2 linked regions of the Oryzias latipes genome follow. The protein of the gene in region 1 purifies or fractionates together with the protein of each later gene. This does not show direct contact. Links are inferred from orthologs where the notes say so. Each region holds a gene or a part of one and is shown in the gene's direction. Other genes may lie near its edges.

Region 1 (8,541 bases):
CTGGGGCACGGCTTACCGATTTGAAACGCCCTCTTCCTTCTCAGAGGCCGACATGACACCTGTTATACTTTCACACATTTCTGACTTTCAGTCTAGTTTTATAAAAGTAATAAATTCTGAGTTTATCTGAAATATTGATATTAATAAGTGAAAATAACCTAAATATCTGCTAGCTTATCTGCTAAATTAGCCCAAACAGTTTTGCAATTCAAAACTTTATTTAAAACTTTATTTAAAACAAACAGAAGGTTCGCTACAAGGATTTAAAATGTATTTAAAATATATGTATATATCTATATAATTACTTATAAAATACATAAAGTGGAAACATATTCTGCAGATATGGTGGAAACAACGAAAAAAGCCGGCGCAACAAAGAAGCAGGAGGACCGTCACGCCCCACAGGTTGAACAGGTAGATCAGGCTGACATCACCATCCAGGAAAGAGAATGAACCTGCGGAACGACGGACGGATATCTGCGGAGTAATCACCTGCGCTCTGTACCTTTTACCCCCAAACACCCTCCGAGATGAAGGTCGTCGTCGTTTTAGCTCTTATCAGCGTGGCCGTGATGGGAGCCATGATCTTCCAGACCCTGCGCCAGGAGATGAACCTGCGCAACATGAGGAACCAGATGGTGGAGAGCTCGGTCGAAATTAAGAGAAAGGAAGCCTCCATCGTGGAAATGAAAACCAAAATCCACGAGATCAGGTCAACGCTGGAGAAGGTCAACAGTAAAGTGGAGGAGCTGAGGAAGAAGAAGGCAGAGGGGGAGAAGTTATTACAAGAAGCTGAGAAAATTCTGGAGACCTGCAATGGCGAAAAGGTAACACACAATGACTAGTTAGTATTATAAATAAACCTGCAAAAATACATTCTTATATTGTTTTCTTCTTTTTAATAGACCCATGTGAATATTTGCATCTTAACTGCTTACAAGTATCTCCCCATGTTTCATTTTTAGGTCAAAACCGACAAAAAGAAGGCAGAGCTGGAAGAAAACTTAGCTCAACTCAAAAGTAAGACAGATAAATAAGAATTTGATTATTTATTATTTTTTATGGATTAACTAAAGAAAGTTGTTTTTCCCTGGTCTATCTATTTTTCCCCCAGCTGACCATGAAGAGGCTAAAAACAAAGCCCAAGAAGAAATTCGGTCTTTAAAGGAGCAGGTTTTAAGCAGAGACAAAGCTCTATGTGCTTATGCAGATATGACCAAGGAAGAAGCACGGTAAGAACTTTAAGCACTTTTTGCATCAGGAGCAACAAAAAATAAAAATTATGTTTTGGCAATGATGGAGGATGTCTTTAAAATCCTAACTTAATTTTCTTGTTCTTCATTTTATTTCTTTAGGAAGCTGTGTGGAGTTTTTGAAGAACCCAAATGAAGTCAACCTAGTCAACTTGGACAGTTATCAAATAAACCAGCTTTGAACATACTGTTGAAATTCACTGATGGCATAGAGATCCTACCTATTTTCTTAAGTGATGAGGACTGGGTTGATCAACATCACGTTCATGGATCAATTAGAGAGACTTCTGAGATTGGGACATGGCTGTTTGTATTATTTTCAAAGGTGACCTTTTTGGTTTTGTAGGACTTATTTTGTTAAATAATTTTGTAATTCTTTGCATCCGTGACCCTGGCTGTCATGCACAGTTCACAATGTCTATGTGAGCTATATAGGGTTCATGTTTAGCATAGTTTGGATGCCCTTGTGTGGATCACTATAGGATATGCAGAATGTCTCCTGTGAAAACCAGCTTAACCTTGATCTTTTGTATGTTTTATTTTATGGAAATAAAGCATCATTTTAGATGCTAAAAACATCAAATGAATGCATTGAGAGTGATAAATAAAAACAGACATTTTTCTTTGTGGCTTTTATGTAATACCAGTTTCTGACTGTTATGGTTTCTGATATTGTTTCATGAAAAAAAAAAAAACATGTTAAAAAGGTGTATCTGCTAGTTTGTCCTTTTTCTGTTTGTCATACCTAAAAACTTTGTAAAGGTAATTATGTTTTCTTCTCGTTACTGGGTTTTCATTGCACTTAAACTCACCTGTGCAGACTGACAGTTTTTCAGAAATAAAATAAACAAACAAACCCACTTGTTTTTCTATATGCTTCTAAAAGTTAATTTTTGAATGATCACGAAGTGGCAGGAAATGCCTTTAAGAACAGCCAAGTAAAAAAAAAAAAATATATATATATATATATATATATATATATATATATATATATATATATATATATATATATATATATATATGAATAGAATAGAATAGAAAAGGTGTTTAATAATCCCTGAGGAAAAATTTAAAACTGGCCATCTGCCCACTCATAAAACATACACATATTAAAAACAATAAAAATAGCAATAGAATAAAAAGATTAATTGATAAAAAGATTAATAATTTAAAAGCAGTGGGTAAGAAAATGAAATAAAATAAATAAAAACAAGAATTACAAGAAATTGCTTCTAAGATGCCCTGCCAGAGAATTGTATTGTAATATATATATCTTTTAATGTATTGATTTTGTTTATTTGAAATGCTTTATCTTTGGTTAAACTTTGTTTACGCAGTTAAACTGCTGAATGCATAATGTTTATCGTGCTTTAATTCATTGTGTGGATTTCTGTAATTTCAATATGAGGTTAATAGGACTTTAATATTTCAATTTAGGAGAAAATGGCAAATGAACATGAATAGTAGTAAAGGTAGTAGATACTAATAAAAGTTTGAAGTTTTGAAACACTTCCTTTCATTCTCAACCCTTGTGCCATCCTAGACACTTTAATATTGGGAGTTGGGTCAACTAGACCCAATAGGCAGTGCGCTGAACCTTTTTTCTTCAATGATTTGTGAACTTCACTGGTGTCCATGGATTACATGAAATCTTTCCACCTTTATCTATCTTTGTCATGGTAGGGAGAACATCTCAGTGTAAGGGTAGAGTCATCTAAGATAGCACAAGGGTTAATTCCACAAGACACAGACATCCCTAAGCAAAATTAAGTTTCTTCATCATTGTAAAGGCAGACACTGCCACACTGTGGATACTTCTGTTTTTTTTCTATCTATTCTATTTTTTGTCTTATTTATAAGTTCAATAATTCTTGCATTTACAGAAACTTTCCATTCATCCATCCTTGACATAATGCTGCTCAGCTGCTGTATTTAGCTCAGAAAATCAACTGCTTGCCTCTCCAAAGGATTACAGGCCTCTATAACCCCCCAGTAGTGGCATGGACTGGTCACCTGTGCCATGCTGCATTATTCATACAAAAAAAGGCCCCAATTATAGATACAAAGTCTTGTAGACGATCATACTTTTTAAAACTGTGGCATTTTTGGTTTTTGTTTTGTCTTAAAAGTTATTTCATTTCAAGAGACACTGATTTTTTTTTAGGACTAAATGAACAAAAATAAATAAATATATGTACATGTATATGTACGACGGAGTTTTACCCCAAAACTCCGTCTCCGTCCTCCTTTTGGTGTGAAAAAATTATCAATCGTTACCATAACAATGTGGGTATTACCGGAAATGTGATCAATTATTTACAGCCAATCACAATGCACGCTATCAATCACGTGGGTGTGACGCAATCTGATTCCTCTTGCCGGCAGGAAGCTGGATGAAGTGTTTGTCATCGTGACACATGAAAGTCACCGCTTAATTTAACTGAGTGAAATCCAGTAGGAGGTATTTTTGCAATCTTCTGCCGCAGAACACACTCCTGTGTTCAATATGTACAAGAGGTATTTCACAGCTGATACGTTTGTAATGCAACAAGAGTATTTCATAACGGGTTTAGCTAACGAAGCGTTGGACGTTTCGAAGGACAAACGTCAATAGCTGGGGGGAAAACTACTAACAATTCGTCTTTTCGAGAAGTTGCAGCGTTAAAAAACAATCGGTGCTCGCTCACTCCTTCAAAGATGGCAAGGAACCTCGCTAGAATACTCGGAGGCTGTGGGAGCCTCGTTCCATTCATGAAGACACCCGCGTGCCCTCCTCGCAACAGCAGCAGCATTCCTCCTGCCAGGACTCTGGTGGTGAGTGGAACGATCAGCTGTTCGGGGAAAGTGCTGGAATCAACGCATGTCATCTTTTAGAATGGGCTTTTGTCTGTGGAAATCGCCAGCGCCACATTATGACAGGTTAAGTTAAGGCCTCTGAATGGCTGCAGCTCAAGCGTCATGTTGGGTTGACTGTTGGGACATTGAGATCCCTGCACACAGACAGACAGAGTTCATATTGTCCATGGCATAGAAATCTAAGAACTACACTGATTTACAATGTTTTGTGAAATTTGATCATTATTTTACTGCTCTTTGTTAGTTCTGTTTTTCTTTCTTTCTTTTTTTAAATATTAAGAAAATAACAATGTTATTACTTTATATGTATTAATCTTTAAATATTAAATATAATGTTTATTTTTATTTAGTCAAAAAGAAACCAGGTGAGAAACAAATTGCTGAAAATACATGAAATTGGAGCCACAAATCTATATCATTATAGCTCATGTTTTGTCTGAACACTTAGCATCTGTACAACTATGTGCAATTTTAGGAATCCAGTCCGTCGGCTCAGTCCTGTCCTGTGGTTTCAGGTAACAATGTCTTTATCTGAAAGGTCTGAAAGCATTTTTTTTTTAAATCTCCAGCAGATGCTCTTCTCCAAGTCCAGGGACTTCAGCCTGCCCAACTCCTCATGGGGGGAAGAGATGATGCGACTCTATGAATTTTATAACGGCCAATCTGACGTAGAAACAGAAGGAGAGGAGAACCAGGGGAGGGAATGGAAGAGACTCCCAAGCTACAACCGTTCCCTTAAATATGCAACAGGTACAGAAACAAAGATTCTTGTCTGTTTTTAAAAAAAAATCCTTTGGGCACTTCAATGTTCCAAAGCACAGTTTGAACTTTGATAATCATTATTATTATTATCTGTTCACATTTTTAGTCTAGACATAGTTTTTAGGCACCTAGAGACACAATGCAGAGAAGCTTTCACATGGCTGTGAACAAGAATTCCTGACTGTCACAGGGCTGTGATATTAATGTTTTACTGACCATGCAAATTTAATCAGATTCAAAGCATATTATAGTTACAAGACAAAAAAATTAATCCCAAACATTCGTTAGGAACACCAGATAATATAAATTTGTTCAATTTGTTGTCATTTCCTGCATTGGATTTTGGCCAACCTTGTTTTTTATTTTATTTGACTGATAAGTAACTTTAGGACAGGATTAAATGGAGAAAGAAAAGTTTCTAGCATATAAAATCTAACTTTTACAACAAATAATTTTAATGTATGTACAGTAATGAACTGTAGCTTTTATGAGTCACTTTACTGAATTCAAAAACTGCTGCTTTGATCTTTCTTTTTTTTTTAAAGCAAAAACATAAGGATGGTTATAAAGATGCACTTGGTCTTAGTTTGTTAAACAGAAAGCATGAAAGTTGTTAACTTTTCATATAATAACGAACAATCCTTTTTTTTTCTGTCACATTAGGTGGAGTTTATCTGAGCAAAATAATCCAGTCAAAAGCGCGTCTCTTCACCCGAAACATTCGTGAACCTGGTGCTGCTTTTGAATATGTTCTCTTTATCAACAAAGAAAAAGAGAGGTGTGTGTGCGTTTTCCAAGCGGGACACTTGCTGGAAGGACCTCCAGGGTGAGACAGCTTTTCTTGCCATATTGATTTTAGAATCAAACCACTATAAAAGTTGATGAGTGTTTTCTAACATATTCTTTTTAGGTAGAAATGAAGCAAACTCTCAAATTAAACACAAACAAGTATTTGCTGTCATTTGCTGTAGTTTGGAGTGTCTGACTAATCCGACATTTCTTGTGTTTTTTCATATTTGCCATAATGAGAACACACAGTAAGTATGAATTTATGTGGCTTCTTTTTCCATGCTGGATGTAATTCCAGACATGTCCACGGGGGGGCAATAGCGACCATGATTGACACAGTGACTGGAACTCATGCATCTGCGATTTCTGCCCCAGTTATGACGGCCAACCTCAACATTGACTACCGCAGGTATGAAACGATGTGATATAATTTATCTTTGGGGTTTTTTTTCTTATGAATCCTATGTATTCAGATCTTCTACTTTTCTTTATGAAAAACAAAAATTTAAAGTCATTGGAGCCCTCAAAAAAATTAGTTTATTTATGTATTTGTTGCAGCTGCTTTTTCCATTAATTTACCGTTTGTACAACTTTTTAAGTTGATCTGCCTTTAGCATACTGACACGAAATATTTTGGTACACATTGTGATTCCACAGCTCCCAGATGACTCTTGTTTTCAGTGTTTCTGGTCTTGACTTCACTATTATGGGTCACCTCGACCTAACAAACAGTTTTTCTTATTCCAAGCCCCATCCCACTGGGAAGCACAGTGTTGATTGAGTCCACGCTGGAGAAAACAGAAGGCAGAAAATTATATATTTCATGCAAAGTGACCAGCACTGATGGCTCAAAGAGGCACACTGATGCAACAGGTAAACGCATTTCCCCAAATTTCAACACAACAGCCTTGTCTGTTAAGAGCTGCCTTCAATGTCACTCTGCTGTTTTCTTTCATGCAGCACTGTTTGTGTCGATCAGTGTCGCTCATCTGCTGAAAGGGTGACAACATTTCAGTCTGCCACAAACAACAAATCTGTCACAGGTGTGTGTGTGTGTGTGACACTGTAAAAAAAAAAAAAAAGTGTCCTTTTGGTTTGAAATATGTACATATTTTCTATAAAATGAAAATTGAATGTAAATATAACATTGTTTGCTTTTAATTATATGCTATTTTATTAACAGTTTCTGCCAACTTTTATTTTGACTTCACATATCTTTAAACTTTATTTAAGGTGTATTTTATTGTTGAACAAAATTGTATTGTTTTCAGGTATATTGTGGCCTTAAACATGAATGAGCTGTACTTATTTTTGTGGAGTAGCTCAATAAACACTCTTCCATGGTGCAACAGAAAACAAACTGCAATAAGTATATATCTATATTTGTCCTTCTTTTAGTATTTTTTGCATATGAGCTCATTTGTCCTACTGGTACAGCGTCCGCCCAGAGATTAAAATATTATGGATCAAATCCATAGTTTTGTCATTTGGGAGTTGAACCACCAAATGGAACCTGAGCATGACTGCTGCTCACTGCTACCCCAGACAGTGGGTCAAATGCAGAAAACAAAATTTCTCCCCCCTCTATGTGTGACAGCCAGCGTGACTTTAATGATGCACATTTGTTTTGATCTTTGCACTGGGGTCGTCGGTTGTTATATCACCATGTGATGGATGTGGTTGTACTTCAATAAGACCTATGGGTTTTTCACGCTTATGAGGGTATCATGACTTACAAACAAAACCAAAAAAAAAAGCTTTTAAACTTGAAATCGTCATATCAGCACCTGCTATTCACTCTGGCGCTCGGAGCATGAATCTACATTCAGATATGACTGAGGCACGCCACACAGTGCTTTGATAATGAACATCATCTGCACCACACAGATTCCTGCTGCTCTGGCATCGCACTCAGACCACATTGCTAATAATAGAATACTTATGAAAAACACCTGTGTTTTTTACATTGCTTTTTGTGTGAAAGCAGTGGTGTCTCTGATCACACCACTGCTGTGTGCTCTTAGTCCTAAAGGCAAAACCATCTGAAGGAATGGGTTTAAAAAAAAAAGTTTGTTTTTGCTTAGTTTTAAGGAAAAAACATTCACTTCTTTTCAATATGTTTGTCTTTAAAATGTTATTAAATGATTTATTTTTACATTTTTTTTTTACAATTAGATATTTAACTAAAGCATCAATTGTTATGGTAAAAACCATTCCAGTTTGCGCACGTAAACTCCCATTTAAATTCAGTTCTCACATAGTTTGGTCTGATCTGTGGTTTCTGAGCATACAAGTTTTTCACAGTATAGGTCTGGTGGTCGTCTGAGGGCCCCTTACATCTTTAACCTCAGTAAAGTACAGATGGAAATACGTGCTTTTAAAAAAAAAAAAGAAAAACGGACTGAGTGTGCTGTTTGTGCGTGAGAGAGAGCAAGTGCATGCAACATCTAAGATGCCATTTAAGGGAAAATAAGCTTTTTTTTTCACCCTAAAGAACCATGTGGCTACGTTGGGTTAATGAAGCGTAAGGCAGGTGGGGAAGGAGGTAATATTTTCTTGTTTCAGTTAAAACCACCAGCAGCAGAGCATCCACACTATGCCATTTCATGCTGATATTCATTCAGGGTGAGAACAACAGTTTGACTAAACTGTCAAACTGTCCATATCATTACAATTTTATCCAGTAACTGAGGTAAAGTGGACAAGAATTCATGACCACTGAGGTAAAGTAATCAGTGACTCTTTAAAAGTAATTTACCTAACATGGGTTTTAACAAACCCCTTAGCAAAAAGTAGCCTTTTTAAGTGTACTACAAGTATACTTAGTCTACACTAAAAGTGAATCAGTATTTGAAATGTACTTTTTATATAAGCTACTATA
Region 2 (8,011 bases), on another chromosome or scaffold:
TGAAGTACTCCTTCCAGACACACGACCGTCTGTGTTTTGTCATGGAGTATGCAAACGGTGGCGAGGTAAACTTTTTTTTTTTTTTTTTTTAAACATTTGCCAAAGTTAAAATCAGTACTTTTGGTGTGGACTTTAGCCTCCCTGTGGTTAACGCCCTCCGTTCTCCTTCAGCTTTTCTTCCATCTGTCACGAGATCGGGTATTCTCAGAGGAACGGGCTCGGTTCTATGGCGCAGAGATTGTTTCAGCGCTGGACTACCTGCACGCCGAGAGAAACGTGGTTTATCGAGATTTAAAGGTAGGTGGGGAAATGCGCGATCGCCTCATCCAAGCCTCCGTGGAGTCTCACCCCTTTCCCTTCATTCATCCCTTTCCTGCCTGGACATAAATGGGATTTATTTCTTTCCAAACAGTCGGCGTGGGTTTATTGATCTGCCTCCCCTAGATCCCCCCTAAGACCTTGCTGCAGCTGGAAGCGAGCTTAGTCTGTACAGCACTGCCGAAATACCCACCAATGCTTTCTAACCGCCCACACTTAGCAATATTTTTCAAATGGATATTTCTTGGTAGGTGACTATCTTTGCACTGTGTTCCTAATAAATGCCAAATGTATGTTTTTGCTGCAGAAAAGCAGTTTTTAAGGCACAATAAAAAAAAAACAACAATCACGTCACAGTGAATGAAAATTTCGGCGGCCTCATTAGCTTGAGCTCTAAAGATAAACGGGGGACGTGTTATGTGAAAATTACACCAGCAATGGATGCTGCTGATTGATGGTGTGTGTTGGGGTTTGGGTTATCAGTGCTGCAGTGAGGTTCTGTAGCCGTACAACACTTCCTGCTGATAAAACTATAGCAGCCAGGTCAGCACAGCACATTTTCTCTCTTTCTCCTTCCCTCTCTCCCTCCTTCTTTCCCTTGGGTTTATGAGGCAGGATTCCAGCCTGCTAGGGTTCTCTTGAAAATGCGAGGGTAGCAGGATTGGAGGATGTGCTGACTCTGGCCTGGCGCCGCTAGCCACGTGTGAGATACAGCTGTCAGGTGACTTGGACTGAAAAAGCGGGATGGCGAGGGGAGCCGTGCAACCTCAGATTGTGACACTGCCTGATGCATCTCATTTCGGCAATTACTCTAAATTTGTTGTGGCCAAGTACTCTGTCATCTACTCAAATTTGCTTCAAAAAATAAACAAAACACAACTTTGTGTAGGTCAAGATAACATCTGCAGTGTTATAGAAAAAAACATTTAAGACTAGAAAGGATAAGAAGGACATGTAGGGATTTTTCTCCAACCTGTAGCTGTTGGGGACCCCCCAGCAAGTACCCACAGAGATCGAACCAATGAAAAGAAATCTCTCCTAAAAGTCCAAGGCCTCAGTTCTGTTTCCTTCTTTCGACATACAAGCCCGAATATGTTTTTGTCAAACTTGTTACTGTGAACTATGATTAAATAACCTTTGCTAAGCACAGCAGTGGGGACATTATGATTAGGCACATTTTGCAACAAGACCTACAGATAATGAGTGAACTATTAAAAAAAATGTTCCTTAAGGAGTTGATGTCAATATATTGCAATTTTTAACTGGGGTTCCTTTTCCTTTGTTTTTTCTTAGCTGGAAAACCTCATGCTGGACAAAGACGGACACATAAAGATTACAGACTTTGGCCTGTGTAAGGAGGGAATCAAAGACGGTGCAACCATGAAAACCTTCTGTGGGACACCGGAGTACCTTGCACCCGAGGTAAGCGCAGGAAAGCATTTTTCTAAAAGCCAGTTGTCCGATCTCACTTGGACCTAAAAGAAAAACCGAACACTGTAGAGGTTTTGGTCGGGGACCATTTTATTTAGAATAGTTGTTCCCACACACCAAACCCGCTCTGCTTAATATTCAGCAACCAGCTGACTACATGGCGCAAGGATGTAGCAAATAAAGTTGCTTAAATGGTGGATTCACGCTTATTAATGTATGTGGAACATTTTATTCTGTTTTTTTTTTTTTGCATTTATCCGTTGCACCTTAAAAGTTGCACGAGGCTGAAGTTGGCGTCTATTTCACAGAGGATGAACTGCTAAGTTGTTTTGGTTTTCAGAGAAAAATCTTTAGATTAGCTGCTCCTGAAGCACGATTGGCATTCGCTTTTGGAAAGCCGACCCCCTCGACACATGTGACATCTCCAGATCTCGCATAAAAAGGCAGCACGTGTCGTTGCACATCAATAGATTTGACAATTTAACCGAAAGAGCAGCTGTCCGAAAATGCCTTTCTAATCTCCAGCTGAAGTTAAGTTAATGAGTACTTTGCGTGCCCAGGGCAGGGTAGCCTGCTCTCGTCTTTGCTCTAAGGGGTGTGGCTGCTCCCAGTTGCGTGCAGGTATGGGGTGTGCTGTGTAACTCGATCCTTCACTTTAAGTGTACATGTGTTTGTTGCTCCCTTTTGCCTGCTGTTGTAAAAATGCTTCAGGAAGGAGAGCGTCTGTATTGACACAGTTGTTGCATTGTTGCTTTTAAACTGCATTTGGCAGTTCGGGGTTGGGAGGAGGAGGAGTGATAGCCTGGCAGCACCTGAGGAAATGCGAGCTTCCACTTCTGGAAGATGGAGGGCGTTTGAAAGAGACCACAATGGCTGCAACTGTTGTGTGGTACCAGGTTGCAGAGCCTGATGCTGCTTTGGATGCCTCACCTGACCCCAGCTTACTCAGAGCTGGTATGAGCTCCACAGCGCTTCAGGCCGCTACGTTTTTCTCCTTCAGGAAGCAGACTGACATCCTTCTCAGCACAGTTTTTAAACCTTCTCACCTGGAAAAAAACTACACTTGTTTTTCCATATTTGTGTCAACCTGCTCCTCTCCGAAGAGTTGCAGGGCTCGAAACGGCTCCTAAACTCAGCATCGCGGCAGAGGGTGTTGCCGCGGTAACGGGGTCGCTGGTGAGCGTCTCCATGGAGTGCGGGCCAGGCAGTGTTACAGGTTGTTCTGCAGTAAACAATGACCTTGTTGTGTATGTGTGTGTGTGTGTGCTGCACAGGAATGTTGTAACGTCTGGGAATATTCCACCCAGAGCTGCTGAGAGAAAAGGAGGGGGGGGGGGGGGGGGGGGGGGGCAGGCTGGATCTGCAGCAGCCTGACCAGAGTGTCTCTAGAGTGAGGAGTGAGACAAATTCACTTAGTCACTTTTATGAAGCACTTCCAGAAGAAAACCATTATTGGCTGAGGGAATTGGCTGTTGGGCGAACATCCACAAAATAAGAAAAGTTGATGTGTTTAATTTAGCCACCAGCGCTGCTCTGGATTCACCAGCTTGAAAGATTAATGACGTCCAGCGTAGAACTTCTGTAAGCAGAAGAAAATGCAGTATAAGAATTGAAGCAGCAAGTGTCCCTTTCATCCTGTCCTCCCTTTCCCTCCTGCATATCTACTCCTCCGAGGTGCTGTAACTGCATTAGTTCAGGGCTGGGGGCCGGATCCGACTGGCTCAGAAGCAGCCCTGGTTACATATATGAGGGATGAGCTTGGCTCCTGCGCTCCTGGCAGCTTCACAGCTGTGGTGCTCTTCTACATATATGGGGCAGCTGCAGGCCCAGCTGTCGCACGGTGTGAATCACACGACAGCAGTGCTGGAAATAGAGACAACCCAGTAATCCTAGCCCTGTGCTGGCTTCACGTTACTCCCCCTCTGCCCTCCGCGATGCTCGGCGCTCACCGCAGCTCCAGGCCGAGAGCCCACGGGCGCATTCTCAAATGCACACCAGCCTTATTCCTTTTACAGGCACCTCTGTCGCCTGTTTCCCAGAAGCCCCTTTTTTCCCCCCCTCCACCCACAACCCTCTCTGTCCATATCTAAACCCTTTCTCCACCATCCGCTTTTATGTAAGTGCCTTTTCTTAGATTTGATCTATCCTGTATCAAGCCGTTGAAGGTTTAAGAGAACAGACGGTTCTCCTTGTCTTGATTTCACCTTCAACATCTGCCTGGTGAGGTAAAAACCTGTACGCGTCCCCAGAGACCTTGGAGCGCCTTCGCTCAGCTGCACATTAGACATTCAACAGGTTGTGATGTTCAGCGAGCGTAACCGTGGAGGAGTGCGTCTCGTAAGAACCGTCAACAAAAAGTGTTTTGGAAAGACTGAGACAAAATATTTTCTTTTCAGAGACTTTTACATTTTGGTTTATTTTCCTTTTTATTTTTTATTGTTGGGACACATATTTGCTTGTTTAAAGTGCACCTCTGCTGTTTGTTGGTGGATCCGTGTGTGTTTGTAAAAAAAAAAAAAAAGGCCCCTTGGTGATTAAAAATGCAACACTCCAGAGGAAACTATCTAAGACGAGATGTCAGTGGGAGCAGAAGCCATAATAGCCAAAGTTTAGTTGCCAAAGTGTTATTTTCTTTTTGCTCTAAAACACAATCATTATCAACTTGAAACGTCACAAGCTCTGCATTAAAAAACTCTTTACCCGCTCCTTCTTGTCCTGCAGGTTTTAGAAGACAACGACTACGGCCGCGCCGTGGACTGGTGGGGTCTTGGTGTGGTCATGTACGAGATGATGTGCGGCAGACTCCCCTTCTACAACCAGGACCATGAGAAACTGTTCGAGCTCATCCTCATGGAAGACATCCGTTTCCCTCGCACTCTGGGTCCTGAAGCGCGTTCCCTGCTCTCTGGTCTCCTGAAGAAAGACCCAATGCAACGGTGAGACGTCTATTGAAAACATATACAGTGGTTCCTCTGTTATCGCAGGAGTTGCGTTATAAAAATAACTCGCGATAGACAAAATCTACAAAGCTTTTCTAATGCTACGTGCACGCCGGACATGTGATGTATGATGTATGTACGTGTGTTCTTAATCATGCTTTTAGCACATGGTGTTCACACTGGACTGTCGCTACCTGATACTAGTACCTATAGTTAAAAGAGGCTTGATGTCAAATGTCAAAGTGGTCCAAAACTCGCAAATCCTGCCCCCAGGCTTTCCGATATATCAAAGACTTGGTGCGATGACAAACCGCAATTATACAATTCTCCTTCATGATCTATTATTAACCGGTTGACACTTCTATGAATGTTAAAGGACGCAATCCATACATCACAACCAAATCAGAGTCTCTGGTCAAAGTTCAACTTTTTGACTTTTTGCATGTAGAACCCAAAGATGGACTTAAAAACTTGCATAGCGCCTTGTGAAACACAAGGGTATTGAAAGGTGCATATATGCGCGTTTACATAGACTTTTTATTGGAAGTGGCCGCTTGAACGCACGTCTCTAAGGCCCAGTGTGAACATAGACAGACATGAACATTTTCACATTTAAGCTCAAACCTAAATGTGAACACAAGCACTGCTTAAAAAAATTTGCAAAAGTACAAGACCGGGGAAGATGAACAGCGTTATATTGCAGAACCACTGTAGTCTGTGCTTGATTGTTTATAGGTGAGGCTTGACATGAATCTGCTGTGCCTCTGCTTCCAGGTTAGGCGGAGGGCCGAATGATGCAAAAGAAATCATGCAGCACAAGTTCTTTGCTGGTATTATTTGGCAGGATGTCTATGAGAAGAAGGTGGGTTCCTACAAAGCAGCAGAGGTGATGTCATGTTTTTATTGTAATGTGAAGTAAATCAGAATCATTTGCAGTCAAAAGAATCGAAATTAAATGAGTTTCCTCTTAGACCTTTGGTAATGTTTGCTGGACAGCAAAGAAAGTGCAGTTTGATGTAGAGGAAGAAGAATTAAGGGACTGTAAATAACAATTATGAAGTAACAGAAGTCAAAAGATGTTTATATATTATACATATAATAACCCATGAATTGTTTTAAACATCAAGATTAATGTAAATTAAGAAAATTCAAGTAAGCGTAAAACCTTTAGGTCAAATAACTTTCAATTTTTGTATTGTGATGGATGCATACTTTAGGGATCATGACGACTACACAAGTCTGACCAACATCAGCTGACTGGCAACTGTTTCTGCTCTGACTCATGTCAGCCAATGTCCTCACATAATTGTCTCATCCCCTCCACAGCTGGTCCCACCATTTAAGCCGCAAGTTACCTCAGAGACGGATACACGATATTTTGACGAAGAGTTCACGGCACAAACCATCACTATCACACCACCTGGACAAGGTAGAAGAACCTTACAGAAATGCAACTTGGCTTCAGTTATAAACTGTAAAACAAAATCCCACTTTGGTTTTATGTGAATGTATTTTTTTGTAACAAAGCTCCTGAGCAACCAAAGACAGAATGACGATAAACTCGTCTAATTCATTCCTTTTAACACTAAAGATGAATCCTAACTCTTCTTTGCATGGCTTTTTAAATTACTGTTCCAAGAAAATATAGGTATATTCACAACGTATTCTCTTAAAGTATTCCAGTGGACTTTTAAAAAACTTTATGAGATGTCAAATTAAAGTGCCAGACGTATTCAAACTTACAAAACAGGGTACATTAAGTTTTTGCCTCTGCAGAAATGCTCCTAAAAATGTTCAAGTTAGTTCTGTATGCCCTCTACTGGAAAAGTGGCACCATTGAAGTACTGTAGATTGATGTATACAGTGAGGCAAGTCAGTCACCGATTCCACAGGTTGTCCCACTTTAAAAGAAGAGAAAGGTCTGTAATGTTCATCATACGTTCACTTCTACTGTGAGAGACGGAATGTAAAGAAAGAATCTAAGAAATTAAGTTGTTTGGTTTTAATTTTTTCATTAGTAAATCTGCATTGAAGAGACTTCTTTGAACTTCTGCATACAAGTAGACTGCATTACATTAATGAACACAGTGATGGAAAATATCAGTTGAGCTCAGAAAGTCTTAAAAGACGTAAGGGCTTATTAAAAAAAACAGGAAGATCCAAACCTACAGTTGTAATCTCTGATTTTGATCCAAGGAATTTTAATATGGAATTTTTGTCTCAAAAATCAAAGGCTTCTCAGTTGGTTGGTCATGAACAGTTTGAGAGCCATTACAACTGGAAAGAAGGATACAATCCTATTCCAGCTAATGTTTCTTCTTCTTCAGATCTGACTGGTTATTTATTAAAACAGTGCAACATTATGAAAGAGATTTTGAATAAATTATAGTTTCCCTAAAGTAAATCTAATTAAACGTCTTATGTTTTTTTTTTAAATTAAGAATACTCTTTGAAAATGTCTGACTTGGTATGAACTGGCTTTGCCCTGAGTGTCCGCCATAAGACCAGCCTGTTTCTTTCCTCCTTCTGTCCTGATTCTTTTTCTCTCTTCTAGATGTAAAAATTGTATTTTTAATTTGAAATAATAATTTTGTTGGATATCAGTTAGTGGTGTAATAGAATGGATTTCTTTATTGTTGTCAAATTTCTCCAAATGTTCAACTAAAATCCAAAGTATCGTTCAGCCAAAGTGATATTAAAAGCAATAGGCTGTAAACTAAATAGTCACTCAAAAATAAAAAAGCATCCTTTTAGCTTTTAACAAAAACACCATCTACCCACCATCACACATACTTCTCCCTTCTGCCCATAGGAGCAGCTTTTATTATCATAAAAGTTTCAGCCAAAGGATATAAACTTTTTCAGTGTTTTGGTACATCTAGTTAAAGAAATTATTTAAAACAAAATAGGCACAAACAAGCTCAGCGCGTTCTTGCGGACACGTGCTGGATTGCAATCTCTGTACAAGACCTGATGGAGGGAGGGAGGAGCGGATGGGGCGCCCGATCAGTTACGATGTGCTTCTGTTACTGATCATATCATGTAAATATATGTGCACAAACAGCAGTGAAATTAAAAAATACTGACTGTAAATAATTTTCACGTAATCCTACGTCATGGGTTTTACTTATCGCAGGTTACTTTTACAACGTAACCCCTGCAAAGAAAAGAGGGAACAACTGATATCTGGATTGGCTTAAAATGCTTATAGACCAACTGATGAATATGGTGTTTTTAATGTTTTTAACATGTACTTGTGGCATTTTTCTAATAAAAAATTAGAAAAAAAATTAGAAAAAAAAATAAAATTTTATATATATATA

Evidence for each region. Proteins that work in one complex are often made in the same cells at the same time.
Region 2: the proteins of acyl-coenzyme A thioesterase THEM4 (region 1) and akt1 purify together in Homo sapiens (co-immunoprecipitation; 4 studies listed by BioGRID and IntAct, with this or other methods). This does not show direct contact. The link is inferred for Oryzias latipes from reciprocal best matches to the Homo sapiens genes THEM4 and AKT1.

Annotation. Positions count from the first base shown.
Region 1 is NC_019874.2:18,084,476-18,093,016, forward strand, and holds acyl-coenzyme A thioesterase THEM4, read left to right. Parts: upstream 1-3,596; 5' UTR 3,597-3,950; coding exon 3,951-4,067; intron 4,068-4,678; coding exon 4,679-4,859; intron 4,860-5,534; coding exon 5,535-5,697; intron 5,698-5,958; coding exon 5,959-6,069; intron 6,070-6,408; coding exon 6,409-6,533; intron 6,534-6,620; coding exon 6,621-6,664; 3' UTR 6,665-7,032; downstream 7,033-8,541. Other genes in the region: uncharacterized protein LOC101172357, read left to right, coding at 531-827, 966-1,020, 1,115-1,232, 1,356-1,389. UniProt on the Homo sapiens protein: Has acyl-CoA thioesterase activity towards medium and long-chain (C14 to C18) fatty acyl-CoA substrates, and probably plays a role in mitochondrial fatty acid metabolism. Plays a role in the apoptotic process, possibly via its regulation of AKT1 activity.
Region 2 is NC_019880.2:14,689,190-14,697,200, forward strand, and holds part of akt1 (RAC-alpha serine/threonine-protein kinase), read left to right. Parts: coding exon 1-65; intron 66-171; coding exon 172-297; intron 298-1,611; coding exon 1,612-1,740; intron 1,741-4,470; coding exon 4,471-4,685; intron 4,686-5,462; coding exon 5,463-5,550; intron 5,551-6,014; coding exon 6,015-6,117; intron 6,118-8,011. UniProt on the Homo sapiens protein: AKT1 is one of 3 closely related serine/threonine-protein kinases (AKT1, AKT2 and AKT3) called the AKT kinase, and which regulate many processes including metabolism, proliferation, cell survival, growth and angiogenesis.